2 linked regions of the Astyanax mexicanus genome follow. The protein of the gene in region 2 purifies or fractionates together with the protein of the main gene of each other region. This does not show direct contact. Links are inferred from orthologs where the notes say so. Each region holds a gene or a part of one and is shown on either strand. Other genes may lie near its edges.

Region 1 (15,170 bases), on a different chromosome or scaffold from region 2:
GCTGTAACTGGTGGACCTGAGGAGAACCTCCGGAGCTCTGTACCTGAAACACGAGCATACCTGTCAAGTTTTTCGATTCGAGCCGTCCCACCAGCCCAACCAAGGTTCAGTAACCATTACCGGTTTACCATAAATGTAAAATAACTACAATTAGACGATCAGATGATCTGACAGGTCTACCTTTGTTGACACTGAAATACTGTGGGCATTCATCCATATGTAATTCTTATAATACAGCCTAAATGAAAAAACTTTTCTACATATTTTCACAAAGTCAGGAATGCCCTTTCTCTCCTGGGTATGAACAGGATACAAATCTACAATTTGAGGGAATCATATAGATGGGGAGTTTATTTACATTAGTGGTGTTTAAAATTAAAATACTAGTATTTACTTGTATGTTTGAGGGGGGATAAAGCCAACGTGGGGCACTGGAATAAAGAATGCATGACTGCATAAATGTGTTTAATATTGCACACATGCTCACATTGGGGGGGATGATCATTTAAATGGCCTGAGGGAAAAGTGTACACTGTCCCTTTAAGAGACTCTTAAGGCCCATTTATACGTTTGCATTGAACCTATGGCGTAGCCTACACTTCGCTGCAGACCATACGCCAGAGCTCGACGCGCACCTCTCTAGAAATTTAACTACACGTTGCATAATGCAAACAACCGCAGCTATGATTGGTCCGCCAGGTCTCGCGTTCCCGCCTTCTGGTTTTAAACTGCAGAGCAATGCAGAGCCACTGATACACGCACGCAGATGTATAAACGTGCTCCACTGGGTAGCACACTCTCACTGGAACTACATGCTGTTCCTAGCGCTGTTAGCTCCTCCTATCTGACGAGACGGCGTCGCCGCCCAGCTTCAGAGCTTCAGCTCTGGCTGTGGGCGGGGCCATGAATACTAATTCACGGGTTGATGTAGACACGGTGCTTTTCCTGATCGACTCGTTTTTTTTCTGAATATTTTCTTTTACTAGCTGCTGCAGACAACGAGGAAGAGGCTGTGCAGCATCATAAACAACTCAGAGATACATACTGTATTTCACACACAACAAGAACAAGAGCATTTTAGCAGAAGAACACCGTTAAAAAGCTGTGATATTATATATAAAGTTAAGCTCACCATCTGGTGGATACGTAGTCGGTGTAAGGAGGGCGGGACCGGATCTCTCGAGCCAATCCAAAATCAGCGATCTTCACCAGCTCTGGACCCATACACAGAAGATTCTCCGGCTTCAGATCTCTGTGGAAAAAACCTGAAGAAAAAGTGTCAAAAATTAATCCGAGAAATCAGAGAATTTGTCCACACGTGGCAAACTGGAACATGAGAGTTCAATGATTTGGATTCGAACAGAGCAAATTATTTTGGCAATACAGTTTTGCCGGTTCTGTTAAGCCTCCAGATTTTACCGTGTTTGTGAATGAAGGCGAGTCCCTGCAGAATCTGAAACATGATGTTCCTCACCGCAGACTCAGGAAACAGCCGAGTCCTGGAATATTAGCAAAACAAAGTTAGAAACTGAAAATAAAAAAAAAAACACCAAATATGAGTTTCTGGTAGAGGTGGGTAATATGGTCCTAAAAACGATATCAATACTTTAGAGATTTTTTTTTTAATATTGTTGGCATATTCTAAAAAAAAAAAATATATATATATATATATATATATAATTTATAATAATACATATTTGTTTTTTACATTTTTTTTTAAATATGCCAACAATAATAAAAAAAAAAATCTCTAAAATATTGATATCGTTTTTAGGACCATATTATATATATATTTCCTTTAACTTCCTTTATCCTTTATATGTGTGCTATATCATATCGTACGCAATAATGTCGCCAACATAATATCGTGTACAATACAATTTCCTCTTTTTCCTATATTTACCTGTCCTTCATCAGCTGGTAGAGGTTCTCCTTCATGTACTCGAAGACGAAGTACAGATGGTCGTGTTCTCGGATCACCTCCTTCAGCTTGATCACGTTGGCATGGTTGAGTTTCTTCAGGGACTGGAGCCAAAATAAATATTATTATTATCATTAATATCATTATAACACATCTGCAGATTCACCAAACCCACGCATTTATATCAGAACAGATACGAGACAAGCGAAGGAGAAGATCCAGAGTTCAGTAGAGGTCATGCATCAGAAGGAATACAGGATTCAAAGGTTCAGATCTCAGGCTGGTGTTTGGCCATGAGTCTGTAGTGCAGAGTAACAGGACTGCGCTATCCTGAGCTTCTGTACGGTGGATTAAAATAGCAGGACAGGATTTAGAGCAGGAACTTTAGAACTAGAAGCACTGCAGTCTGAAAACACACAAGAATCACCTGCTCCTCCCACTGCGCTGCTGCAGAAACAAATAAATCATTAGACCACGTTCACACATCCCACAGGTCAGTGCAGCGTCCCTTAACCTCCACGTGACGTGGCAAAAATCATGGGATATGATAGTAATTCCAATTTACAATATGCTGGAATAAAATATTCTAATTTTGATTATTTACCTTCACCTCTCGCAGATTCATGCACTCCTCCCACGAATAAAACTTCCTCTTCATTCTGAAAACAGAGAAAACAGGACTTAAATCACACAAACTTTAATAAGAATAATAAGCCATAAGAGGCTACAGCACTATACAGTAAAAGCAGAGAATAATAACAGTGTTTCTGTATTCTGTAATTCAGTGTGATGAGTGATAATGCTGCAGGATTTAAAAAAAAATGATGTAAAATACGCTAAATTCATTTAAATGAAATGAATTTAAGGATTTTCAGCTCTTGGTTTGACTTGCTTATATTTCCCAGCATAAAAAATTAGTTGGTGTGTGTTTACTGTGGACCTCTACCTCACTCTACCTAACACACTACCTTACCCTGCCTCGCTTTACTTCTATCAACCTCACCCTGCCCCCTCTGCCTCACTCTACCTCACCCTACATTTCTGAATCAGCCGTGTTTCAGCCCACATAGTTTGATATACCCGCTGTGAATAAGAGCCGTAGGGGGGTAAGAAAATATCGATAAATCAATAAGTATCACAATAAGTGTATCAACTCCCAAAAACACATAATCGATAGTGTAAGAGGTCATAGAATGGGTGGCTTCTATGCTGTGTTGGGTGATAATTATAGGATGGTTGAATCTGGGCCAACAAAAAGGTTGCCAGATCCTCTGCAGTAAGCCCGTGTGTATGTATAATCACTGATTTGCACGTGTGCTCTTCAGAAGTGTCCGGATCAGGCGGTGGAACAGCGAACAGGCTGTGATCTGACAGCTGGCTTTACAGCTGTGGACCAATCAGAGCCAAGTGGTGCTGACCCCGCCCACTCAGCCGATTACTGAGGCATCTGTCAGGCGGCTGAGAGCTGGAATAGTGCTGGGTATTTTTAGCTGAAGGAGGAAGCGTGGGTGGAGGATCGGAGAGGATGAGTCTGTTATCAGCTGATCTATTGATTTATGAAGAGGGATCATCTATAGTGAGGCGGGGGCTGAGGGGGAGGGGCTACGCCGTTTCATTTCCTGATGAGTTTATGGGATTGGGGGAGAAGCGGTGAATGGTTGGTTGTTATGTGTGTTGTCCCAGTGTCTGTGTTACCATTTATGATCTTATGTGGATCCTAGAATGATGCACAAAAGCACTGGGAAACTTGCTCAATAGGGGTGGCCGATACCGCCCTAAAATAGTATTACGATATTTCAGGGTATTTTTGCAATAATATTATATTCGTGGGCTGCATGATTGCAGGATGTACAATGTCACATAAGGCAATTAAATCAAACACGTCATGTTGCAATCTATTAATTCTTGACACAAGAAGTAGATACACAGCGCTGTCTCTGTGTCTGTATGAGTGACAGGCTGCTGCTGCCTGAGAAGCACTAGTTGCAGCTACATTTTCGCTTTTAATCCCAGAAAAACGCTCCTATTTACCAATTAAAAAGCCACGTAAATGCCTGATTAAAGGGTTTAACTGTTTTCCTCGGTTTTGAGTGGGTGGGGGTGAAACAATTAAAATACATTGACTTGCTCATAGTATCACAATATACTGCATTGAATTGTAATGCCTGTATTGTGATACGTAATAGTAATGCCAAGTACTCGACGATACTAAACTCGACATAGCCCTAATCACATCCCAGGCAGTTGCTATGGTGGTGCTAAGTGGTTGCTCTGGTGTTGCTATACTGTATCTGTGTTGAAATAAATACACCAAATCTTTCCCTCCAGGAGAACCGCAGTCAGAGGAAGATGACGGATGCTTTACTCACTTCTTGATGGCGACGAGTTCGCCGGACTCCAGGCAGCGGCTGAGGATGACGGAGCCGTAGGTGCCGTCGCCGAGCTGCCGGAGGGCGGAGTAGCGGTTCATGGTTTATCCAGGCCGGACGCGGCCGCTGAGGAGCCGGCCGAGCGCAGCCACGTTTTCCTGTGACGGCAGCAGTGAAGCGGAGGCGCCGGCCTCATGGTGCTACGGGCTTACCTCCACCTGCAGCACAGCACATTAATAACAAGTTATTAAATAAAACACAGTGCCTTGCAAAAGTATTCAATACTTTTCAACCTTTTGCCACATTTCAGGCTTCAAACATAAAGATATAAAAATGTAATTTTCTGTGAAGAATCAACAAGTGGGACACAACCGTGAAGTGGAACAAAATTTAAAACTTTTTTTAGAAAAGAAAAAAAAACTGAAAAGTGGGATGTGCAATATTATTCGGCCCCTTTGCGTTAATACTTCGTAGCGCCACCTTTTGCTGCGATTGCAGCTGCAAGTCCCTTGCGGTATGTCAATCAGTTTTGCACACAGTTTTGGTATGCGAGAGACGCCAGTAACCAAGACGGATAAACGCGGATGAATCGTGTTTTCAGATATTTTAGATTAAAACGTTTGTTATAACTCTATTTTGAAAATCACATTAAAACTGTAATTCAAATTAACCAAATTAATCGTGAAAATCGCCCAGTGCTATGTGAAGTGTATGGACAGCATTAGCCAAATCAGTCTTCTGACACGCCCCTAAACCCATACATCACCCAGTGCCCCTCTCAAACTACTGTTCCCTGTATTGTGTTTTTTTTGGCATTTTTTTTTTTTGAGCTGAGGGTGGAGTCAGCTAAAATCAGGGGTTTAGTTACCCTGTAGTTAATAGATGTTATAGAGTAAAATACCAGCTTAAAAGACGTGCACTGGCTAAGTAGATCTTTTAAGTGTAAAACGTATAAAAACAACTGAAATAAGTCGATTACACTGATTGTACACATTGTACACATAAACTCAAATAACAGCTAACGTTACAACTACTATATTTATACAGAGAACAGTACAAAAACACCACCCAACGCTAAACATTATATATATATATAACAGTTATATATATATATATAACAGGAAAAGGGTCTACAGAAAAACAGCGGCTTTTAAAACCCTTTAAATGCCCGAATTATTCATCAATAATGGTTTTAATTAGTGTTAACCCGCAGTGTGAGTCAGTTACAGTGATTTAACATTAACCAGGCTAGCAAATTAGCTAACCTAGCTCCTTAAAACACCGATTTATATCAAATTCAGCTCACCAGCTGCACCATCACCGTTAAATCCGCATTATTTAATCCGGTTTACCTGTGTTTTCTGAGGAGTGCGCATTCCAGACAGTCCGATCTCTGTGTAAATCTAATAAACCCGGTTTAAAGCTCAGGCTAACAACAGCACACTCTCCATACAGTAGCTAACAACACTGCGGACGCGCTCCAATCCTCTCACACACTCCCTACAGCCGTTAAAAACACTGCGGGCGCGCTCCAATCCTCTCACACACTCCCTACAGCCGTTAAAAACACTGAGGACGCGCTCCAATCCTCTCACACACTCCCTACAGCCGTTAAAACACTGCGGGCGCGCCCCAATCCGCACATACGCTCCCTACAGCCTCCAATAACACTGTGGGCGCGCTCCAATCCGCACATACGCTCCCTACAGCCTGCAATAACACTGCGGGCGCGCTCCAATTCGCTCACACACTCCCTACAGCCGTTAAAAACACTGCGGGCGCGCTCCAATCCGCTCACACACTGCCTACAGCCGTTAAAAACACTGCGGGCGCGCTCCAATCCGCTCACACACTCCCTACAGCCGTTAAAAACACTGCGGACGCGCTCCAATCCGCTCACACACTCCCTACAGCCGTTAAAAACACTGCGGACGCGCTCCAATCCACACATACGCTCCCTGCAGCCGGTAACAAAACTGGGGCGCGCTCCAATCCGCGCACATGCTCCCTACAGCCGTTAAAAACACTGCAGGCGCGCTCCAATCCGCTCACACACTCCTTACAGCCGTTAAAAACACTGCGGGCGCTCCAATCCGCACATACGCTCCCTGCAGCCGGTAACAATTCTGCGGGCGTGCTCCAATCCGCACACACGCTCTCTATAGCCCCTAACAACACTGCGGGCGCGTTCAAATCTGCACGCACGCTCCCTAAAGTCGCTAACAACACAGCGGGCGCGTTCCAATCCACACACACGCTACCTACAGCTTCTAAGAACACTGCATGCGTGCTCCAGTCCACACACTTGCTCTCTATAGCCGCTAACAACACTGCGGGCGCGCTCCAATCCGCTCACATGCTCCCTGCAGGCGCTAACAACCCTGGGCGCGCTCCAATCCGCACACATGCTCCCTACATAGAACCGATAATAAATTAATTAATAAATACATTTTTATTTATTTGTTTGTTGATTAATGTATTTCTACCTTTATATTTTTACATTTATTTATTTATTTCCACATTCCTTCATTTATTTATTAGATGGTCCTATCCTCACTTAGACTTAATATTTCTGCCCTCCTGTGGACAAACTCAGTATTACAGCATCTCTGATTAAATAATAAATAATATTTAGATTTCTGCCCTCCTGTGGACAAACTCAGTATTAAAGCATCTCTGATTAAATAATAAATAATATTAAAATTTCTGCCCTCCTGTGGACAAACTCAGTATTACAGCATCTCTGATTAAATAGTAAATAATATTTTCATTTCATATCTCCTCTGGACAAACTCAGTATTGCAGCAATTTTTAATTAAATAAATTAAATAATTATTCTGCCCTCCTGTGGACAAACTCAGTATTACAGCATCTCTCCTTAAATATAAATAATATTTAAATTTCTGCCCTCCTGTGGACAAACTCGGTATTACAACATCTCCGATTAAATAATAAATAACATTACAGTATTACAGTAAATAAAATAAATAGTGATTTAATCACTCTATATGTTTTCATTCACATTCTTTACAATTTACAAGATATACAACAATTAGTACAAAAACAGTTTAACATTGCATTGTTACAGTAGAGACAGTTATTCCAACAAAAGCATCATAAACTCTTGAATTCTCTTGATTTCAGAAGAAATAATGAAAAAGCTGGTGTTAAATTTAAACAATTCCTCGGTAAAGTGCGAACAAATGTAATTTCTACACTGTTTTAGTTTTTTTAGTTAACTGAATGTTATAAGAACGTTTCTCAATGTTTTATACAACTTGCTCATCATTCCCTTTAGTCAGGTAGTCAGGTGAGCTCTGACTTTGGCAGATTCCTATTTTAATGCCTCGTTTTAAGTGTCAGGGCTCTCTGGATTCTATCAATGAGGTGTGGAGCTACTTTGAGCTGGATAACGGTGTTAAAAGTGACATTTTTCTGCAGGGGCAAAATATGCCCCATTAAGACCCATTCTAAAGGGTATTTGGACAAACAGAATAAAATTGCTGGATCTCGGAAAGCTGCCGGAAATAGGAGACGGGTTAGTACTCTTCATCATGTTTTACTACACCCAAAGTCAATTTTACACCGGAGTTCTCCTTTAAGCCTCAACATCAGAGAGGCTTTCTCTGAACCGTAGGTGGAATTCCAGGGTTAAGGCTCGTAGAAAGTCTATGTTCACGACTAATCACATGGTCCTGGTCAGTCTCTGTTTATTTCACAGCATGTCCTTCACCAGGTCTGGATGAACATCTGCTAGACTTCGATAGAGTTCCTGTGGTGACAGAGTTTTCCCCACTAAATTAAGTAGAGCCCTGGTTTTGGCCTGTGGAGTGCTCTGGTTTCTGATCTCATTTATGTTTTCTGAACAAATGAATCGAACCAGGCGATCCAGAATGGCGTCCACATTGGTGACCTTTTGGACCAGTTCATCCCAATTCCCGAGAAAGAAGTCCATGCCTGCAAGGAAACACAAAATCAGAGTTAGTAAATATTTATTCAGACAAGAAAGAAGCACTAAAACCGCATTTCAGAAACGCTCCTTAGTTTCCCTACAACCCAACATCACCCAACATTACCGTATTTTTCGTACTATAAGGAGCACCATCAATAAACGTCTATTATCTGATCAGTTTTTATACACAAGGCGCAACAGATTATAAATTTATCTACAAAGATTTCTTTCCTGAAAACTGTTTATTTGGGTGAGTAAAGCGCTTCTCTTTATTTACAGTAAGCTTAGATTTCCAGATTTACACTACGGCTGGGTGCAGCAGCATTAGCATTAGCATTAGCGGCTAACTGTTAGTGCTAGTAAATGTCACCCAACTGCCCTACACTAAGAAACTCTAAATGTGTTCCGGTAAGCTAGGGTGATATTAGCTAGGGGTTCATACTAAATAGCTTGTTTCAACATGGCAAAAGCGCAAACCACAGTCCGTTATACTCACGTCTGAATGGAGAAAGAGCTAACTAGTTGTTAGCGCGGTTAGCAGGTAATGCTAATGCTTCTCCACCAGTGCTAGTCGGAGTTAGGAGCAGGCTACATAATACTCACCTTTGAATGGCAAAAGAGCTAACTAGCACTAGCACTGTGGTTAGCGGGTAATGCTAATGCTGCTCCAGCAGTGCTAGTCGGGGTTAGGAGCAGGCTACAGGCCCCTAATACCAGCACAGTAAGCAGATAATGCTAATACTGCTCCAGCCTCCAGTCTTGGTGCGGGAGAGCTAAACTATAGAACTAAACTATAACACCGCACTGATGATTTGTGGGACAATTTAAGGATTTTAAGTGCATCTTATAGTGCGAAAAAAACAGTATATAGAATTTTAATTGACTGCAGTCAGTGTGAACCCAAAATATTTAATGTTTTGTCCAAAAATTTAAAAGACTTCCTTTGGAAGTTCCAAGGAAAATTCTTCTTAGCATCATAATTCCCAAATAAAGGCTCAACAAACATCTTCATATTGCACAATTAACTGTCTTTCAGCAGATATCAGCATCAGATTTCTGCATCTGTAGATATTCTGATTGGAAACAACAAAATAAATGGAGATCCAAATAAAAAAAGGATACATACATTTCTTTTTATCCGGTGTAGTGATCTTTCTCTGATAACCTGAGAGAGGTGAGAAAGGAAAACAGGTAAAAGATTAGCATTTACTCTCAGATTATGTTTTCAGTAATGTAAAGACCATAGTTTGCTGGTTTCAGGTGGTCTAAGATCAGGGTTCTTTAGTGTAGCGCTGTCGGGTGGCTAGCAGTTAGCCGCTAATGCTAATGCTCCAGCCTTAGTGCTGGAGAAATTCGATAACCTAAGCCTACTGTAAATAAACCCAAATGCTTTAATTACCCAAATAAACAGTTTTCAGGAGAGAAATCTGTGTAGATTAACATCCAGCACTCGTTTACAGTTTTGTTTACTTAGCTTAACTTTACTTAACTTAGTTGTCTCTTATAATCCGATGTATATTACATGTGCAAATAGACCACAAAATAGACATTCACTGATAGTGCGCCTTATAGTGCGAATAATATGGTACTATTACAGTTAATTTTTTAAAAACGTTCCTTACTTTCATCGGATGAAGTGCTTCTGTCCTGATATTCTGGAGAGAAACAAAAACAATGAGAAATTCATTAATTTACATACAGCTAGTATTTAAATACATATATACACCTGTAAAATATATCTGATTTATGGATGGTCTCACCTCTAAGGTCTGGTAAATCATATCCCCAGACCATTTTATCGGTGCCTTTCTCCTTTAGATGTAACTTTATGTTCATTGTGTTTCTTTCCAGGTGGATCACAAACGTTGGGTTGTCGGTGAAGATGTGTCTCAGGAAAAGACCGTCCTTTATGCAGCGATATAGGAAAAGGTACACATTCAGCACGTTATACAGATGTTAATCTGGTTTTGGGAGTTCATAGTCTCCCTACTCACACTGTCTTGTATTTTCTGCTGCCTTTCCTGTTGTTCTACATCTTCACAGGTCAGGTTGTACCGGTGTCCGTGTTTAAGGTTGGTGTCGAAAGCTCCTTCAAGACGTATACTGCCTTTTTTGAGTAGCTGCAAAACATTTATTTGCATTATTTCAGCTCAAAACCAAGAGTTGTGTACAGTTATAACTAGCTCTTTCAGGTAGAATACAAATGTATAAATGTCTTAGCATGGGCTAGAAATGGAATTAACCTAATGTTGATAAAAAATTAAAACATTTAAAAAGCATGTGTAAAAGCAAGTTCACTAATTCCTCATTTTCTCTTAATAAAGTCTTTATTTTAAATAAATGGTCGACTGCATGTTCAAATAATTGATATTTAAGACAAAAAAAAACACTCCTGTTACTAGAACTCACTCCTGTTACTTTTGATGTTATAAGTAGCAGGACTGAAAGTAACAGGAATGAGTTTTTAGCGTAGAATTATCAAAAACATGAAAAATAGCTAAATGGCGGCTATGCTAATAGCATGAGGACACTGAGCACATTCTAGAGATTTTCTGTTACAATAAGATCAAATATGCAGAAAAACTAATGAGGGAATTTAATTCTGGTCTTCCCATGATCTTCAGAAGAACCAGCTGATGATGTCACTTCCTGTTTTGGAGTCACAGAACAATTAAAAAAATAATTACAAAAATTATAATTATATTTCATGGTAAAGTTTATAGTTAAAGAGTGGGGAGAATGGGTAACAAATGCTATTTTTCAGTGTTATAATTATTTTTTATTAATATTTTAATTACATATCTTACTTTTACAATTAGGCCAATGTACAATACACTATGCTTAACAATAAAATGTATTTTGTGTGCACATTTATACATGTAATTTCTTGTTTAATGAAACAGTATTTTTTTTAATGGAATGAATGATCTTTAAGGACCTTACCTTGTGCAGGTCTGTGTTATGAGGCCGTAGGAACACGTGCAGCCGGTGTTTGGGTAGAGGGTAATATGTCAGTATCAGCTGTCCCCTGATTTTACCTTTAAACCAGTTCAGCATGTATTTCAGCTGAAACAGTGACAGTCCTGGAACCCTCACGCTCACATGAGTGTGTGTGATATAATCAGCTTTCAGGACCTCCACCTTCCCTTCAGTGTAATGCTCCACAGTCATGAAGCGACAGTCATCTGCAGGGAAATTAAAACAAAATAAAATCAAGCACAGTCCTCCAATCCAATTACATTGATCTGGATTAGGACAATAATTTGATAATGGTGTTTATTACGATAAGAAATGTTTCAATAACGATTATATCATTTTTTCAGTATTTTAATATGTATTATTTAGAGAATCTGTCATGGACAGGCGTTTTTTACTTGTCAGTTCGCTGCATTCAAGCAGAGCTGAACACAATCAGCCTCCGTAGCGGGGCTACGTCAGTGCGTGATGACGTAATCACACAGGCTAGGATAAGCTAAGCTAAGCTATGCTAGGCTCTAGCACAGGACATTTTAGATGCCAAATTAGTGCCTCTGATGGCAATACACAAGCAGGGTGCAAATTACGGGGGGTATTGGGGGGGATCAGACCCCCCGATTAAGACTTCAAGCCACTCTAAAGGGGTAAAAACAATAGTTTGGGGGGGTCAAAACATTTAAATATCCTTTACTAATTACAGGCAGTATTAATGTCTGGAAGAATACTGTGATACGATTTCAAACCCCCCCTAAAGTGGATCATACCATTTCATATTAATAATATTATATTCCTCTCGTTTACCTGCTGCTGCTGGATCATTATAGATCAGGTGTGTCTAAGTTAAGGTGCGTGAGCTGCTCACGCTACAGCATTACGTGTGATTAGCTTTATATCTACTTAGCTTTCTTAAATATGCACTTAAAACACACTGTTCCCTACATAAATAACTCACATGAATTTGCTATCCCACCTTAAATTCGGCTAATTTACGATTCCGCCTTAAATGCTGTTATACCGCTGTCCGTGTTTAAGGTTGGTGTCGAAAGCTCCTTCAAGACGTATACTGCCTTTTTTGAGTAGCTGCAAAACATGCTTCATAAGCTTCAGTAGACCTGGTCAGGAATTAGTTATTAGGCTTTTAGTATCTTTTTATTAGGCTACTTTGAAAATGAACAACATCCAAGCTTTTTAAAAGACATTAGCCTTAACATTTAATATTGTAGTCACAAAGTCAAAATATGTGGATGAGTTGAGGGACAAAAGCCTTATTTATCTACAGGGATTTTCACTTACATTGTTATTTTCTATTTATTTAGACTTAAATAACAAATGATTCCTGTGGGAGAGATCCTGAAAAATACGAATTAAAATTTAATGGTGAGAAAGCTGATGAAAGATAGTAGCCAACAGTAGTGTGTGTGTTTTTGCAGGATTAACTGTGGATTTTGCTGTATAATATATTATTTATATTATGACTACTATGAATACATCTAATCTGATTCATTCTTAGCAGTTTTTCTGAGGCCAAAGTAATATTGATATCGAAATTATATCGCATCGACCGAAATTAAGGAATATATCGCAATATAAATTTTGGTCATATCGACCAGCACTAATCTGGATTAATAATTTACCTGGGGAGATCTCGCAGTGGGGGAGCTGAAGATGAGAGAGCTGACCCCCGACACATGTGATATCGTACAGAGGACCTGCTGAATACTGATTGGGTGAAGCTGAGCAGCTGCTGTCCTCGTCCACAGTTCTGTACACCACCTCTCCTTCTCCATTCATTCTGAATCCCAGCCTGGTGAAAGAACAATGGAACCATCCGGCATGTTTGCACAGAAACCTGCAGAGCGAAAATCTCAAAGTGAGTCTTTTTTCTGTGATCTCAAGCAAAATCACTCCACTGTTAATTTTTACTCAATTTTATGATATTTATGATGATCATATTGCACATTACCTGTACTTCAATTGGCCCTCCTCAGTTATCACTTCTGGTGTAAATTTATTTTCACTTTCTGTCTCCTGTGAACATTAAAACATGATTAAGCTCTATACAGATATACAGTACAGTATTTTCTCAATATAAGATGCACTTAAACTCTTTTAATTTTCCCAAAAATCATCAGAGCTTCTTATAATCCGGTGCTCCTTATGTATGAATTCTATCAGTCAGGTATTAAGGAGCAGTAAAGCCACTCTGCTGAAGTACAGAGTTATACAGGAGTTTCAGATCAATTCTCCAGAACCGGGGCTGGAGTAGCATTAGCATTAGCATTAGCCGTTGACCGCTATTTCTCCGTTCAGTGGGGAGGATTATCAGACTGTAGCCTGCTCCTATCCCCAGCTAGCACTGCTGAAGCAACATTAGCATTAGACGCTAGCCACGCTGTGTTGGTTATCTCTTTCATCATCAGAGGTGAGTATTATCAGACTGTAACCTGCTCCTAACCCTGGCTAGCACTGCTGGAGCAGCATTATCATCAGCATTGGCTGCTAACCATGCTAAGTGTTAGTTAGCTCTTTCATCGTTCAGAGGCAACTATATTTAACTGCTAATGCTAATGCTTCAGTCTTAGTGATGGAGAAATTTGGGAATGTAAGCTTACTGTAAATAAACCGAAGCGCTTTACTCACCCAAATAAACAGTTTTCAGGAGAGAAATCTGTGTAGATTAACATCCTGCGCTCGTTTGACAGTTTTGTTTACCTAGCTTAGCTTTACTTAACCTGGTTAAGACCTGCTAAATAAGAAGTTCCTTATATAGTGGGAAAAAATACAATAAGATATATTTAATCTGGCTATTCTCTATAAAAAATAAAAAAAACATACCGTAACCATCTTTAAGAAGGACCGGTTCACAAGTGCTGGGACTATCAGGTGCATGGTCTTGTTCCTTGAAATCATGGTCATAATCCTCTCGGAGAACTCCATGGCCTGAGCTGTCCGAGTCCCAACCCCAGCAATGTAGAACCTGCCTCCACATTTCTGCAGGAGCCACTGCGCTACACTTCCCTTTAAGGAAGTGGTTTTATTAGTAAACAACACGATCACATGCTTCCAGAAGCTCCGACCAAAGATCTCCAGATCCTGTAGGACTGATCTGGTCTTCTTGAGTTGTCCCTCGTGAAGAAAGGCAAGAACGATGGCGTGGGGTCCAGGGGCAAGAAGGGACCGTTCTCTTGGGAGAATTTTCTTGGCATTGCAAAGATCAGTCTCAACCAGGCACACAGTTTTCTTAGCCATCGTTCCTTTTTGAAGCACTGGTCTTCCAAAACCCAGCACCTCCTCAGCACGGGAACGACTGTCTAGGATCACGTTTCTAGCACGTTCCTCTGCTCCCTTGAATGCTAAAAGCCAAACTCTTAGCTCTGTAAGCAGAGGACTTTCTCCTGTGAAATAAAAAAAAAGCAAATGCATCAATAGAATAATGAGGTACAGCACTAAATGTAAGCAAACGTTTGGATACACCTTCCCTTTCAAAGTATTTCAATGTTATTCTTCTTTTTTTTTAAGGCTTCTTCCAAAGATTGGGTGCCATTTCTGTCCCCAGATACATTTTATTATTAAGCATAGTGTCTTGTACATTGACCTAATTGCAAAAGTAAGATATGAAATGTTACCTAAATGAATTCTTACATCTTATTGGTTTATTTTTAAAATACAAATTGTGGGAAAACCACTAGAATGTTCTATGCTTAAAGCTAATTCCTGTTGCTTTCAGTCCTGTTACTCAAAACAAAAAAAGTAACAGGAGTGAGTGCCAATAACAAGAGTGATTTAATTGGTTTGTCATAAATATCAATTATTTGAACATGCAGTCAAATAATTTCTCTTTAAAATAGAGACTTTCTTAAGAGAAAATCAAAGGAATTAGTGGACTTGCTTTTAAACGATTTTTAAAATGTCACATGAGTTTTGTAAACACCTTGAAATTAGAAAACTTGTA
Region 2 (16,109 bases):
ATAGATTTAAAATTGAAATTGAAGGGTGCACAAATTTACAAAAAGGACATGGATCAGATATATTCCATAAGTAAATAATAGTCCTAAGGGGCCTACACAATTAATAATCTTTCATTAATACTTCTTTCTATCGTTCAGTCCACTCCTGATCAGTTCAGTTAATTTCAGCCCTCTCCACATTTTCTCTCTCTCCAGCTCAACCATCTCTTCTACCCCTTCTAAATAATACATTACATTACATTATAATACATTACCACAATACTTGAGATTTAAACAAATTCTAACAAACCCTAAAACTAGCCCTGAACTAATAGAGTTTGGAAATGATAGTTATTGGCTGATCAGGCACATCAGGGCAGGGCATTATATATATATGTAGATTTTTCTCAAACCCTGAATATCTATCTAGCTAATTCTAAAGTTAAGCTAACTGAGTCACAAGCTGTATTTTATTAAACACACAGTGGGTTTAATTTATGTTTTGATTCAGAGAAGAGTCTTTTTAACCAGCTATCAGAAACAATCTCATCACAGTTTACATGGTTAATTACCTTTCTTTTAGAAAAATCTCCGTATATCCAGATTAATTTTAACGACAGCTGCTCCGACTAGCTGCCTGAACTCACAGCGAGGGGAGGGGCGGGGCTTCCCGCACACTAAACTGCGCTCCGCAAAACCAGCTAGCTGATTGGCTGTTTCTCCTGAAAGGCGGGACTTTCTCCTTGAACCGGCACCACGATTGGTTAAGAGACACACAGCGGTCAGTGCATTGTCGCCTGTGGCCTATATATTTTTTTATTTAGTATAATACGGGAAATTTACGGGAAAATACCAATACGGGAGGACGGCGGGAAAGAGGAGTAAAATACGGTAGTTTCCCGGCCAAAACGGGAGACTTGACAGGTATGTCTGACAGTTTGTCGCTTGCTAGTGTGAAAGCAGTGTAACACTGAGATCTATCAGTGTTATCCAATCACAGGGATGTGTGTGTGTGTTCCACTGTAACAGTATCCATCTACTTCACACCAGTGTTAAAAATGGGGTCACACTGAACCAGCTCTTGGGTCATCTAACCTGTGTGTGTGTGTGTGTGTGTATCTGTGTGTGTGTGTTTTCACCTGTTTTTGTGCTGTAGGCTGATTAAATATTCATCCAGGTGATCTTCAGCAGAGTGTTGTTTTCCTGCCTCGATTTTCCTCACCTCCTAAACACACACACACACACACACACACACGTTCCATTTCAGTATTACATTATATTTATCCTGGTGTAAAAGGTATTAACTACTAGCTGTAGTAAACACACACAGGATGGGCTATTAAATAAAGTGAAAATGGACACTTTTGATTGAAGCAGAGGATCTTCTTAAAGCGATACATGAGCCAATCAAAGCTTCTCCTTACCCCCAAAAATAAGAAGTTTAGTCAAAATAAGATATTTGGACAGTATGAAACATGCTAATTAAATAACATAATGTATCTTTCATTTCCTTTGACTTTAAATAGACCTTTTTTATAATGATTACTGATGTTGCTATAAAACAAAGGAAGAAAAGAGAAACAGAAGTTCTGAAGCTTACAGAGCTGGTGATCAGTTATCCAAAGTCTCCAGAAATAAAAAAAGAGAGGAAGAACAGGAGTTCTGGAAAAAGAAAAAGAGAAGGAAAGAAGAGTCTGAGCAAGGAGGAAAGAGAGAAAGAGAAAAAACACTGAAATTCTCTGTATTTACTCTACTGGATATGGAATCCTTTAGAACAACGTCTAGTAAAACTGCCCCTTACAAACTTTCAGTAATCTAAACTCCCCAATACTACCCTATACTCCTCTATACTACACCAATACTCCCTTATAGCGCTGTATACAACCTTACACAATTTATATTCCCTCATAATACTACTACATACTCCCTATACGTTCACATTACCCCTTACAAACTAATAGCACCCTAAACTCCCTAATACTACCCTATACTCCTCTATACTACCCTATAAAAAACTATACTCCCTATACTACCCTACACTACTTACTATTACTACCCTATACTCCGCTATACTACCAATACTATGTTATAACCCTGTATAGTACCCTAAACAATCTATATTCCCCTCTTACAAACTTAAAATACAATAAACTCCCCAATACTACCCTATACTCCTCTAAACTACCCCAATACTCCCTTATACACCTACATATAACCCTACAAAATCTATATTCCCTCATAGTACTATATACTACATAATCCTCTACCATACCCTATAAAAAAACTATACTCCCTATACTACCCAAAACTACATTATACCTCTGTATTCTACTCTACAAAATCTATATTTACCTCTTACAAACTTGTAATACCCTTAACTCCCTAATACTACCCTATAATCCTTAACACTACCCTATAAAAACTATACTCCCTATACTACCCTATGCTCCTCTATTCTATCCAATACTATATTATACCCCTGTACACTACCCTACACAATCTATATTCCTCTCATAGTACAATATACTCTCTATACATTCTCTATACCTATACTACTAACTCACAATATTTTATACTACCCTATGCTCTGTATACTACTCTATACTCACTATACTCTTCTATATTACCCTATACTGCCCTGTGCTCCCTAATACTACTATACAGCACCCTATACTTCCTATTCGTTCCCTATACTCACTATACTGCCCTGTGCTCCCTAATACTACTATACAGCTCCCTATACTTCCTATTCGTTCCCTATACTCACTATAATGCCCTGTGCTCCCTAATACTACTATACAGCACCCTATACTTCCTATTCGTTCCCTATACTCACTATACTGCCCTGTGCTCCCTAATACTACTATACAGTACCCTATACTTCCTATTCGTTCCCTATACTCACTATACTCTATACTAACTATACTCATATATTACCCTACACTACCATATGCTCCTTAAACTACACTATACTAGCCAATATTTCCTATTCATTCCCTTTACTACACAATAGTCTATAATTCTATCCTATATTCTCTACACTGCCCTACACTATCTGGTACTCCCTATACTACTCTATACTGTCTTATACTCACTATACTCTAATATTACCCTATACTACCATATGCTACTTAAACTACTCTATACTAGCTTATACTTCCTTTTCATCCCCTATACTTACTATACTCTCTTATGCCACACGCTACTCTGTAATTCTATCGTTCACTTCTTTACACTGCCCTACACTATCTAATACTCCCTACACTACTCTAAACTGTCCTATACTTACATATGGTCCTTAAACTACTCTATACTAGCCTATACTTCCTTTTCATCCCCTATACTCAATTTATATTGCCCTAAACTACAATATAAAACCAATTTTTAAAGGATGCTATATACATTCTGCTATATACATTCTGATGTGCGGTGGATGACTCACCCAATAAAATATAACTGTTGTAACTGTTTCTGAAAATGATTCTGCTAAAATCAGGTCAGATTGAATCTCATCTATCTGCTCTTTTCAATGACTCTACTAATTACGGTCACCAGTGTTGTCTATAGTTTATCTATGTAACAGTATTGGATGGAAACACGGCTTATTTCTCATTTTCTCTCTAATTTCTTAACTAAATATAATATTTGAGAGGAATCCCAGCTATTGTGGAGCTGCAGGGTTTTATTTTACACCATAATCAGACTGTAACACACTAAAGCTCCTGTACTGAAAGATACAGGATGGATTCAGAAGCTCCACTGCAGCTGCTCAGTACAGAACCTCCAGAGTCATTACTTCACTAACATATGAAATTTTTAACACGAGCATGGGTTCTGCTCCTCAGCTGTCCTCCGTACTTCCTTCAGTGACAGTCCAAAGATATAACACACCGTCACATCAACCATACACTGTATAGTTAATTTTATAATAAAAACAATTGTTATTGCAGCATTACATACACAGATCATGAATGCATGCATTTATTTACATTGTAAATAATTGTAATTGTTTGTGGCCTACTTGTTTTTTTAATCTCGTGTAAAACGTAATCAAAATTTCCAATATAAAACAATTATTTGTTTCATTTCCAGTCAATTAGTACAAGTTCTGCAATGTCAGGTAGAAAAAGCAGAAACCCTTATTAAACAAATGACTAAGAAGCCTTAACAGCTAACTTTAACATACGATATTTGAGTGTTTAATGAATCCAACTATTATAAACTTTATTAGAGTTTCCATTATTTTTAGAAGACTAATTGTCAGTGTTTTTAAAGAAATATGCAGAGAGAGAGAGTTAACCTCACATTCTGCCCAAGTTCCAAAGCACACCACCTCATCTGTAAACCATGGTGTTGGACGTGTTCTTCTTATACAGGGATCCAAATCATACCAACACTTCTGTTAAACATGGTGGTGGAAGTATTCCTCAGTTTATCACAGAGGATGTCTCCAAGCTGCACCATTTAAGGCGTTTCAAATAAAATACCACCTCATCTGTTAAACGTGGTGGTGGAAGTATTCTGAAATCTGCAGAGAAATTCTTCCATAACTCATGAACTCAAGTTCATTCTTGACCTCTATACGAACATTTAATGACGCAGAGGTCTGAACTCTAGTGTGGGGAGTCCATTGTTGTGGATGTATTGTCTCCACATTGTTTATTGTTCATTGTTGTTGTCTTTGCCTACTTTAATAAACACATTGTTTTGCATTGTGTTGTCTTGTTAAAACAGAAGAGTTAAACTTGGTGTTGGATGGTCTGCCAGGTCTTGCAGGGGGTTGTCAGGGGTTTCTCTGTTTTGTAAAGTCCTATTGGCTTTTTCCTTTAATGTGCCAGTCTTTTGTTTGATTTAATATCAGAAACATATCTTGAAATAAGGATTTTTTTTTTGTTTTAAAAAAAATTTAAGAAAAATAAAGTGCCCTCTGTGTGCATATAGAGACTATGTGAATAAAACTGTTGCATAAACTCTTAACAGCAAAAAAAAAAAACATATACACATGCTCACAACAATGTTACTGAGGCAAATTTATTGGATTTTAAAGCTGACACACAAAACTAAGCAGATATCTCAAAAGCTCCGGAGCTCCGGAGCTTACCGCGGGGCTTCCCTTACCTCACTCCCCGCCGAGAGTCTCTGAGAGCGGCGTTCAGCTGCCCCTGTATCCCGGGGGTCGAAAAGGGGTGAAAACGCAGTGATAATAAAATGTTAGCAGCCTGAAATGTTTAAAACTGCTTAAAAATAATACAATCTATAGTAAAACAGCTCTAGTTTACTACAGTATTTCTTTAAAAAAAAATAGGAAAAGTGCAGCGGCCGCGATCCAGCTGTTAGCGGAAGATGCTAGGGAGGTTCCCCGCGGAGAGCGCTCCCTACGCCGGCTTACAGCGGCAGGACACACCGCGGCTGGAGGCTGGGCCCGGCTAAGCTAAAATATATATTTTTTAACACTTTTTAATGCAAAAGAAGTGGATTATTACATTCTTTTACTAAATTCTAGTAAAAAGTTGCTTTTTATCATAAAAAATATAGCCTTGTTGAAAAATATGTTTTTGGAATTGTCCGTTCCACCTTAAATGGGCAGTAGTTGCTGCATTCTGGCGTCTCAGGCATTCTGAAGCACCAGAATGCAACTGCTGCCCCATTTAAGGTGGAACGGACAATTGCAAAAACATAGCCCAATTGCAGCTGTTGGCCTACTTCAACAGCTTTACAACGCAGCACACCGACTCCAAACAACCGCCTATACCTATCTATATCAATCAATAATCAATTATCATACGTTATAATCGATTTTAGATTAAATCTACTCGTTATTGAAAACCGTTCACTCACAGTCCATCACATCTTATCCTCCAAACGGCGCTCCGCACGCGACTTCTGTTGTGGACAGATGGAGACGGTAACTAGGAGGACCACGGTCCAATCAGAAAGCAGCATACACCGTGGGCACGCCCACTCTCATAAACATGCATGGACACCGACCAATCGGAAAAGGCGTAACCTGTGTATCCAGGCGGAGACCACTTACTGTTTGGGTACATCTCAAACCTTTCCAAGTGCACTACATAGTGCACAAGCGTAGGGCGTATTGTAAATGCTTCTGCAGACTGAATAGTGCACTAAATAGTGTTAAAACATTACTAGCACTGCAATAGAAGATATAATTGTGCAGCATGTATTAGCATGCATGTAGTACAATGAGTCAGTCAGTTGCTATTTTGTTGATTATGTAGTGCACTATGTAGGGAGTGAGGAGGAAAAGAACACACCCTCAAGAAGGGATAGTTATTATTGGCTGTGCAGTAAAAACTAACTTACTTTTATCATTTTTGGAAAATTTAAAGCAGTAAAACTGGAAAAACCAAACCCTCCTCACCCTAGAGTTCAGACCTTAGCCTCATTAAATGTTTTCATAGAAGTCAGATGTTTAAGAATGAACGTGAGTTCATGAGTTCCAATGCAGTTGCATGAGTTCCAATACTTCCACCACCATGTTTAACAGATGAGGTAGTATGATTTGGATCTTGTGTTTTGTGTATGCAATAAACCTGGAAAAATAGACAGAGTGTGAGGAAATGGCTCCTCTAGACAAGCAGATACTAAAGACTCTTTGATTAACTCATTCTAATCTGTTAAAAAAACAATGCTAAATAAATATGACCTGATTCTAAGATGCTGAAATGCTATCTCAGCTGCATTCAGCTTGAAAAATAACCTGGGTGTTACAGATATTATTTTATTTTTAGCACAAATGTTTACACCTTCTCAGACTTCTTTTCCATTTCAGATGAAGAACGAAAAAGGTAAGCTGGTGTATTCAATGAATCTTGTGCTAAAAGCCTTGTAGACTTTACTGTTTTCAAACATATCTGGTATAAACAAACCTGAACAATTTAAAACCTTGTCTTTGGGGACTATTACTTCTACATAGTCCTGCATGTATTTGTCAATTTTTTTTATTGATGTTTGATTTTAGGATTAAGTTTCAGTTCTTCTCAAAATCTTCTCAAACTAAAGTTTTACATACATTTCGTCCCATTAAACCACTCATTAAGGCTGATCACTGATTGGTGGAAACTTCACACTAGACCTCGAGCAGTTTGGACTGTGTGTCTCTCCACTCTTCCTCCAGACTCTGCTCCCTTGAGTTTCTTTAAATGAAATGTAAAATGTACTGATGATCAGTGATGGTTTGGAGAGTCATGTCTGTCATCTGCTGGTGTTGATCCACTGTGTTTTATTATCAAGTCTAAAGTCAGTGCAGTTTTGTTTTCCCACAAAATCTTACAGCACTTCATATCTTACAGCTTCCCTCTGCTGAAAACAACTTTTATGGAGATGCAGATTTCATTTTCCAGCAGGACTTGGCACACTGCTCACACTGCAGAAAGTACCAATTGGTCTTATATAATTTTCTAATTTTCTGAGACTCTGATTTTTGGGTTTTAATTGCCATCATTATCCACAATAAAGAAATAATATATGAGTTTCACATTTTCAGCTGAATTAGTGAAATAAAGTAGCTTTTCAATAATATTCTAATTGCACCTGTATTAGCCTTGTTAATACATGTGAATCACCCAGTGTTTTCTGCACCTCCAGCTCTGAGGGAGTTTTTTACTCTGTTCATCACTGGAGGTTCTGTGTTGTATGTTAAGTCTTTTGTCTGATTCTCTGTCCTGTAGTTGCTAATGCTGCTGCACCCAGCCTTAGTGGAAATCTGTAAATCTCAGCTTATTGTAAATAAACAGAAGTGCTTTACTCACCTCAATAATCAGTTTTCAGGAGAGAAACCTGTGTAGATTATCATCCAGCGCTCGTTTGACATTTTTTTTAGGAATTACAGTTTTGTTTGTTTAGCTTAGCTTTAGCTTAGAAATGTTGAAAAGTTGAGCAGATAAAACACAGTATATGTTGGGTATGTGTGTCAATATGCAATTATATAAAAGTTAAAGACAATGTAAAAAAAGTGCTGCATTTTTTCACTGGAGGTCTCTGATACTTCACACTATAAAACACAAATAAATGAACAGAGCTGGTTTGCGTGGTCACTGCCCAATCTCACACATTTTATTCGTTATAAATTGTAGCATTTTATATAAAACCAGACAAAAGGAATCTGAAATGAAACCACGGAGAATGAAAAACTGTAAACCGCAAAAATAAATCACAGCAGACAAACCTGACCGCAGAATAACCGGCATCACCGGGAGCTGAGGGGTGTGTGTGTGTGTGTGTGTTTTATGTCATAATAACCAGTAATAACCAGCGACTCTAAAACCAGCTGCTACAGTTAACCGTTTAAAAGCAGAAAGCCCTGATCTCTCGTTCTCTCGCTCCCTCCGTCAGCCTGACGCAGGTCGGCTACAGCGCTCTGCTGCTGCGGCGGGTGGGGGGGTGGGGTTATATAACGAGGGTGGAGGTGAAGGAGTTGCATCGTCGCTGTTTAGAGGGGGTAAGGAGGTGCGATTGGTGTCTGATCCAGGAGGAAACCCACTGTGGGGGTGTGATAGAGGGGCAGACCTCTTAAAAATACCAAAATGAAAATTACAAAATAAAACAATAACTTAAATAGAAGTGCTTAAAAACACAATTTGAGTTTTTTGGAGCCCTTTCAGCAATAAAATAAACAGTTCAGGGGAAACGGGGAAGCCCATCCCAATAAGAAGAGCCTGAAAATAGAAATCATCATCATCATCATCATCATCATCACCACCAGACCAGAACGGAAAGTAAGGGTCTTGGGTAATACTAGCATCCACCCTCAGAGCATCAGTCACGCCCCCGTCCTCCGCCCGTCTCCCGTCACGCCGCCCCGTCGAGGCTGCAGTCTGTGATGGCGTCTGTCTCGGTGTCCCGCCGCTGATGCAGCTCCTCCTCCTCCTGGTTTCTCCTCCTCTCCTCCTGCTCCTCCCTCTCCCGGCGCCTCCTCTCCGTCTCCCACTCCACGAAGGAGTCGAAGAGGCTGGGCCACGCCTCGTCCTCGCTGTAGTTGCCGAGGTCGGGCCCGATGCTCTGCGTGAAGTTCAGAAACATGTTCCAGGTGTCGCGTGAGATCCCGCGCACGCCGTACGGGTTATCCGACAGGAAGTGGAGCCAGCGCTCCAGGACGGGGGGCGTGTCCAGCGTGAAGACCAGCCTCCACAGCGCAATGGCGATGGAGTGCTGCAGCGAGCGCTGGCCCTCGTCCGCGTCCAGCCCGAACTGGAAGGTGAAGCGGTACAGGTCCTTAAAGCTCTCCTCGCCGCGGGACTCCTCCAGCAGCACCGGGAACCGCAGACAGATCCCCTGCAGACTGTCGGCCTGGATCGCCCGGCAGCCCTCCACAAACTCCCTCCTACACACAAACACACACACACACAGAGAGACATCAGCTCATTACTACTCTCTATCAATAATAAATAACTGATAACACACCTATCATACTATTATTACTGCTTATCTTCTAAAATACAGTACTAACATATCATTTTCTGATTTATTTATTTAAAAGCATCATTTAAACACATCAGTGGAAATTAATTATGTGTATTTTCTGTGTGTCCATGTATAGATAAATAAAGACATATACAAATTACTTTTGTATGTAAAATGGTGTTAAACTTGTGTTTATTGTGTCTGTGTTTATTATTTATTCTATAATTGCTTTTGAAAAGTTGATAATTACAATTAATGTAAAAGACACAGAGAGATACAAAGAGAGATAGAGAGAGATACAGATAGAGAGAGATACAAATAAAGAGAGAGAGATAGAGATATACAGAGCGAGAGAGAGGCAGAGATATACAGAGCGAGAGAGAGAGAGAGAGAGAGAGAGAGAGAGAGAGACCAATACAGAGAGAGAGTGAGAGAGAGAGAGAGATAGAGAGACAGAGAGAAAGAGAGAAACCAGTCAGAGAGAGATACAGACAGAGAGAGAGAGTGAGAGAGAGAGAGAGAAAGAGATACAGACAGAGAGAGAGAAAGAGAGAAACCAGTCAGAGAGAGATACAGACAGAGAGAGAGAGTGAGAGAGAGAGAGAGAAAGAGATACAGACAGAGAGAGAGAAAGAGAGAAACCAGTCAGAGAGAGATACAGACAGAGAGAGAGAGTGAGAGAGAGAGAGAGAAAGAGATACAGACAGAGAGATGGTCTTAACACCTCAGCAACAAACGCACACACAAACGCACACACACAAACACACAAACACACAAACACACATTTTGGCTGCAGAGCAGAAGTTGTGACCACTTCCTGAGATTTCAGTTAGATCACTGATCTCTGAACAGAAGAACTTTATCTCAGATAACAGAGAGAAAGAGAGAGTTCACACTGACACTCACTGTTTACCAACATACTGGAGTCCTACTGTCTACATGTGCATTTGCACATCTGTGTCAGTAATTAGTGCAACTTAAAGTAACATGATCATGATAGAGCGCCCCCTACACTTCCTGTAGTGTATTACAGTCTGTCAGAATGAGCGTGTGGATCATATGAACATTATAGAGCATTATAGAGCGCCCCCTACACTTCCTGTAGTGTATTACAGTCTGTCAGAATGAGCGTGTGGATCATATGAACATTATAGAGCATTACAGAGCGCCCCCTACACTTCCTGTAGTGTATTACAGTCTGTCAGAATGAGCGTGTGGATCATATGAACATTATAGAGCATTACAGAGCGCCCCCTACACTTCCTGTAGTGTATTACAGTCTGTCAGAATGAGCGTGTGGATCATATGAACATTATAGAGCATTACAGAGCGCCCCCTACACTTCCTGTAGTGTATTACAGTCTGTCAGAATGAACGTGTGGATCATATGAGCATTATAGGGCGCCCCCTATGCTTCCTGTAGTGTATTACAGTCTGTCAGAATGAACGTGTGGATCATATGAACATTATAGAGCGCCCCCTACACTTCCTGTAGTGTATTACAGTCTGTCAGAATGAGCGTGTGGATCATATGAACATTATAGAGCGCCCCCTATGCTTCCTGTAGTGTATTACAGTCTGTCAGAATGAGCGTGTGGATCATATGAACATTATTGAGCATTATAGAGCTCCCCCTACACTTCCTGTAGTGTATTACAGTCTGTCAGAATGAGCGTGTTGTGGATCATATGAACATTATTGAGCATTATAGAGCGCCCCCTACACTTCCTGTAGTGTATTACAGTCTGTCAGAATGAGCGTGTGGATCATATGAACATTATAGAGCATTATAGAGCGCCCCCTACACTTCCTGTAGTGTATTACAGTCTGTCAGAATGAGCGTGTGGATCATATGAACATTATAGAGCATTACAGAGCGCCCCGTACACTTCCTGTAGTGTATTACAGTCTGTCAGAATGAACGTGTGGATCATATGAGCATTATAGAGCGCCCCCTATGCTTCCTGTAGTGTATTACAGTCTGTCAGAATGAACGTGTGGATCATATGAACATTATAGAGCGCCCCCTACACTTCCTGTAGTGTATTACAGTCTGTCAGAATGAGCGTGTGGATCATATGAACATTATAGAGCGCCCCCTATGCTTCCTGTAGTGTATTACAGTCTGTCAGAATGAGCGTGTGGATCATATGAACATTATTGAGCATTATAGAGCGCCCCCTACACTTCCTGTAGTGTATTACAGTCTGTCAGAATGAGCGTGTTGTGGATCATATGAACATTATAGAGCATTATAGAGCGCCCCCTACACTTCCTGTAGTGTATTACAGTCTGTCAGAATGAGCGTGTGGATCATATGAACATTATAGAGCATTATAGAGCTCCCCCTACACTTCCTGTAGTGTATTACAGTCTGTAAGAATGAGCGTGTTGTGGACCATATGAACATTATAGAGCAGCGTTTCTCAACCTTTTTTCTATCACGACTCCATTTAAAATTATGCAAAATCCCCCCGCCCCCAGTTTACAAATGGGGGCGGGGGGGGGGGTTGGGGGGGGGTTGCTGGCGCAATACTTCAGGTGAGAACGAGGAGAGTTGCTGGCGGAATATTTTATTTCAGGTGAGAAGGGGGGGTGGGGGGTTATTTACAATTAGCGCGAAACCTTCAGACTTTTCAAACGAGTGAAATACTCTGCTACACTCACTGCTGAACTACCACTGGATGAAGAAGTTAATGGCTCTGATTCAGAGTTATCTGAATCTGCAATCTTCTTTTAAAAAAAACGTTCCATGCGAGCTTGAGCGCTTTACACTACTCTCGCAGTGCATCGCGTGGGGGACAAACTTTACAGTGTGTCCCAATTTAGGGGCCGCATCCTTCGGAGGCTGTATTCGAAGACATTGCGTCACAGCTGCGCAGTAATACACCGCCTATCTCTGTGGGTCGCATCCTCCAGAGTATGCTGCCTGTGAATTGGGACACACCCCGACACGAGCTGACTCTGGAAAGGAAATATGCACGTGATGCGCAATATTTTGACGGCACCCCCGATGAAGCCAGACGGCACCCCAGGGTGCCGCGGCACCCTGGTTGAGAAACACTGTTATAGAGCATTATAGAGCACCCCCTATGCTTCCTGTAGTGTATTATAGTCTGTCAGAATGAGTGTTGTGGATCATATGAACATTATAGAGCATTATAGAGCGCCCCCTACGCTTCCTGTAGTGTATTATAGTCTGTCAGAATGAGCGTGTGTGGATCATATGAACATTATAGTGCATTATAAAGCGCCCCCTACACTTCCTGTAGTGTATTATTATTATCAGTACAACATATATTTTGTGTTATGTTGAAGTGAAATAATTACATTTCTTATATATTTATTTTTTACCTTGTAAACTTGCACATGGTAGCAGCCTGAAACTTCCACGCCAGAACCAGGACTTTAAACTCCGCCGGGTCGACGTGCAGATCATTACAGAACCGCTCCATTCCCTCTTCCAGAATAGCGTCCTCGTGCTCGTCTTTATACCTCATGAACATCTCCTCTATCCGAGCCAGAGACAGCCCCTCCCCTTCCTGCTCAGGCTCCGCCCTGCGCACGCTCCCTGGTGATTGGGGCGGAGCTACAGAGGTTTCCACAGTAACCTCCGGTGACTTTGTGCCGTTGACATCAGCGGGGAATTTGGACTCGTCTTTATGGCTGCCGGTCCCGCCTCCTCCTCCGCCTCCCTTTTTACCATGTGACTTCCCAGCATCCTTTTCACCACTTTTGCTGCCCAGAGAGGATGTGGGGTTTTTACATTTAGTCACGCACTGGCCCATGGTGCACTCGTGCCCCTCTCTCTCTTTTCCTCTCCTGCTCTCGCGCTTCCTCCCGACTCTCCTCCTCAGGCTAGACGCCGCTGCTCCTCCAGCCACTGGACAGCAGTCACCATGCCCTGACCAATCAGAGACAGAATCAGAGAGTCAGAAATTCAAAATCAGAGAGTGAAGAATCACAGAGAGAGAGAGAGAGAGAGAGAGAGAGAGAGAGAGAGAGAGAGAGAGACAGACAGAATCAGAATCAAAGACTCAAGAAACAAAAATTCAGATTCAGAGAGAGAAATCAAATCAAATCAAAGAATCAGAAAGAATCAGAATAAAAGAGTCAAAAATCACAAATTCAGAGAGAGAGAGAGTCAGAATCACAGAATCAAAGAAAGAGAATTAGAATCAAAGTCAAGAATCAAAAATTAAAAATCAGGGAGAGAATCAAAAATCAGAAATTCAGAATCAGAGAAAGAGAGAAATAAGAATCAAAGAGTCAATAATCAAAAAATCAGAATCAGAGAGAGAAATCAGACTCTCAGAGTAAGAATGAGAGAATCACAGAGAGAAAGTGTATCAATCACAGAATCAGAGAGAACGAATCAGAATCAATGACTCAATAATCAGAGAGAAAGAGAGAGAAACAGAGAGTCAAAAATCAGAAATTCACAATGAAAGAAAAAGAGATGATCAGAATTTTAATCAGAGATCAGAGAGTCAGAATCAGAGTCAAAATCAGAAATTTAGAATCAAAGAGAATAAAAAATTCAGAATCAGAATCATACAGTAAAGAATTATAAAGATAGAATCAGAATCTGACAGAGAATCATAGTCAGAATCAAAGAAACAGAGAAAGAGAGAGAATCAGAATCATCAATGTGACTCTTCTTTTGATGGGATCTGTTTGTTCGTTTGTATTAGTGACTCTTCTATAGAGTATCTGTGAATCAGTATTACAGGAATGTGACATCAGACCAGACATCACATTAAAACACCTACAGCAGTGATTTGTTACATTTCTCTTTGAGTCTATGAGTCAGATTCGCAAAACTCCCGTACCCTGTTACGCAATGCTTAGTCAGAGTTACAGACCTATGGCGGAGGGCGGGAAGTATCGTAGAGAATTGACTTGTGATATATTGAGTATTGCAGAATCACAGTATCATGATGTCATGATGATGCTCGGTGATTCACAACCCAATGAGTACATTACATTTGAGTCCAATCCCATTTTACCTATTGGTCCTACCACTTACCCCTAACACTTGTTTTTTGTGCAACCCCTGAAATCATCCCCCTAGGAATTGGGAAACCCTTCAAAAGCACCCGATACACCATCAGGAGCACTTAAGTTCAGTAACCTAGCTGCTGCTTCTGAATACCTAGTTTAGGTAACTTTAGGGTGTATTTTCTCGTATGCCTTCAGAATTATTATTGTCCATTCCTTAATTCCTATGTGACGAGGAGCTGAATCTAGCTTTGATTAGATATTTTATTTTATTACATTTTTCAGTTCCGCCTTAAATGCTGCAGCCCCTGCTGTCTGTTGCACCATTTAAGGTGGAATGGGAAAGTTAGATAAGCTAGATATCTACTGAGACAACCTATTTTACAAAGTAATCTTTTTTTTTTTTTTTGCTTGTTATGAAGAATTCGGCCATAAAACATTGAAACTACACATTAAACTACGGTAATATAGTGCTAATTAGGGCCGCACGATATATTGTTTAAGCATTGTCATCACAGTGTGCGCATGCGCAATATTCAGCTCGCAGGACGTGCGATGTCACTTAAGGCAATGTTTTTATTCTTGACACAAGAAGTAGATACACAGCGCTGTCTCTGTGTCTGTGTGAGTGACAGGCTGCTGCTGCCTGAGAAGAGAAAGGAGGAGGGGGAGGAGTCAACACGAGGTAACTAACTGCATGACCTCCATCCACATGGTTGGGCACGTGCTTGTAGACGTGAGCACGTGTGGAAAGCTGTGCTCCTCAGTGCAGCACAGTTTAGCAGAGCAGATATTTCCAGTTACAGCTGAATTCACGCTTTTAATCCCAGAAAAACAAACGCTCTTATTCACCTTTTAAAAAGGCATTTAAATGCTGATTAAAGGGCTGATTACTTTTGTTTTGCTGTTTTCTCGGGTTTTGAGAGCTCGGCGCTGACTCAGATCTTGATTGGTCCGGACGCGAGACATCATGTGCGGTGACGTCATGTGCCCTGCATTGTTTAATATCGTGATTATATATATATATATATATATATATATATATATGGTAGAAAAAGAACATTTGCAATGTTGTTGTTTTTTTTCAATATCGTGCAGCCCTAATGCCAATCATCACTTTTAATAATAATAAGGAAAATACTGAAATCTGTGGGTTTTCTTTGGTCGCTTGTTGGTTTCAGTCCTGTGGTTCAGAGGTGGAATTCTCTAACTTTAAAAACTCTTATCTCCACACTGAGATCAGATCATCGCTCCATCACAAAGCGTGACATCACGGTTTACCTCAGCCCGATGCACTGAGTCATGGGGTGTGTGTGTGTGTGAGAAGGAATAATGAATCAAACCCGGACTGCTGGTTATAGAATTGCACAACAGCGTTGTGCGCTCCCTGCTCTGCTCCCGCCCACACGGCCAGCGGCTGCGTTTTATAGGTCTGATCTCTTAATGCAGGAGAGCAGCAGAGCACGCCCAGATACACCGAGTCCAGCTCAGCTTCTCATTACACAGCATAACAAGATGCTTACTCACCACCCGGATCACTGCAGCACGCACAATACACACTACTGAGACCCGGCACCAGCAGGGACCAGCTTTAAACATCAAGAAAAACCTTTTTAAAAGTAGTATACTGCATTTTTCACACTACAAGGCACACAGGATTTCAAGGCACTATAAATGAATGTATATATACATTTTCTGGTCTATTT

Evidence for each region.
Region 1: the proteins of katnip (region 2) and serine/threonine-protein kinase ICK purify together in Homo sapiens (affinity purification with mass spectrometry; 3 studies listed by BioGRID and IntAct, with this or other methods). This does not show direct contact. The link is inferred for Astyanax mexicanus from reciprocal best matches to the Homo sapiens genes KATNIP and CILK1.

Annotation. Positions count from the first base shown.
Region 1 is NC_064432.1:26,208,567-26,223,736, forward strand, and holds the start of serine/threonine-protein kinase ICK, read right to left. Parts: upstream 6,326-15,170; 5' UTR 5,643-6,325; intron 4,509-5,642; 5' UTR 4,392-4,508; coding exon 4,291-4,391; intron 2,581-4,290; coding exon 2,526-2,580; intron 2,026-2,525; coding exon 1,904-2,025; intron 1,500-1,903; coding exon 1,420-1,499; intron 1,266-1,419; coding exon 1,133-1,265; intron 44-1,132; coding exon 1-43. Other genes in the region: interferon-induced protein with tetratricopeptide repeats 5, read right to left, coding at 8,006-8,247, 9,369-9,407, 9,865-9,897, 10,003-10,147, 10,237-10,362, 11,186-11,427, 12,853-13,067, 13,182-13,246 and 1 more.
Region 2 is NC_064413.1:56,172,922-56,189,030, forward strand, and holds the start of katnip (katanin-interacting protein), read right to left. Parts: upstream 5,904-16,109; 5' UTR 5,825-5,903; coding exon 5,818-5,824; intron 5,142-5,817; coding exon 5,098-5,141; intron 1,205-5,097; coding exon 1,119-1,204; intron 1-1,118. Other genes in the region: dcun1d3 (DCN1-like protein 3), read right to left, coding at 8,791-9,322, 12,757-13,190. UniProt on the Homo sapiens protein: May influence the stability of microtubules (MT), possibly through interaction with the MT-severing katanin complex.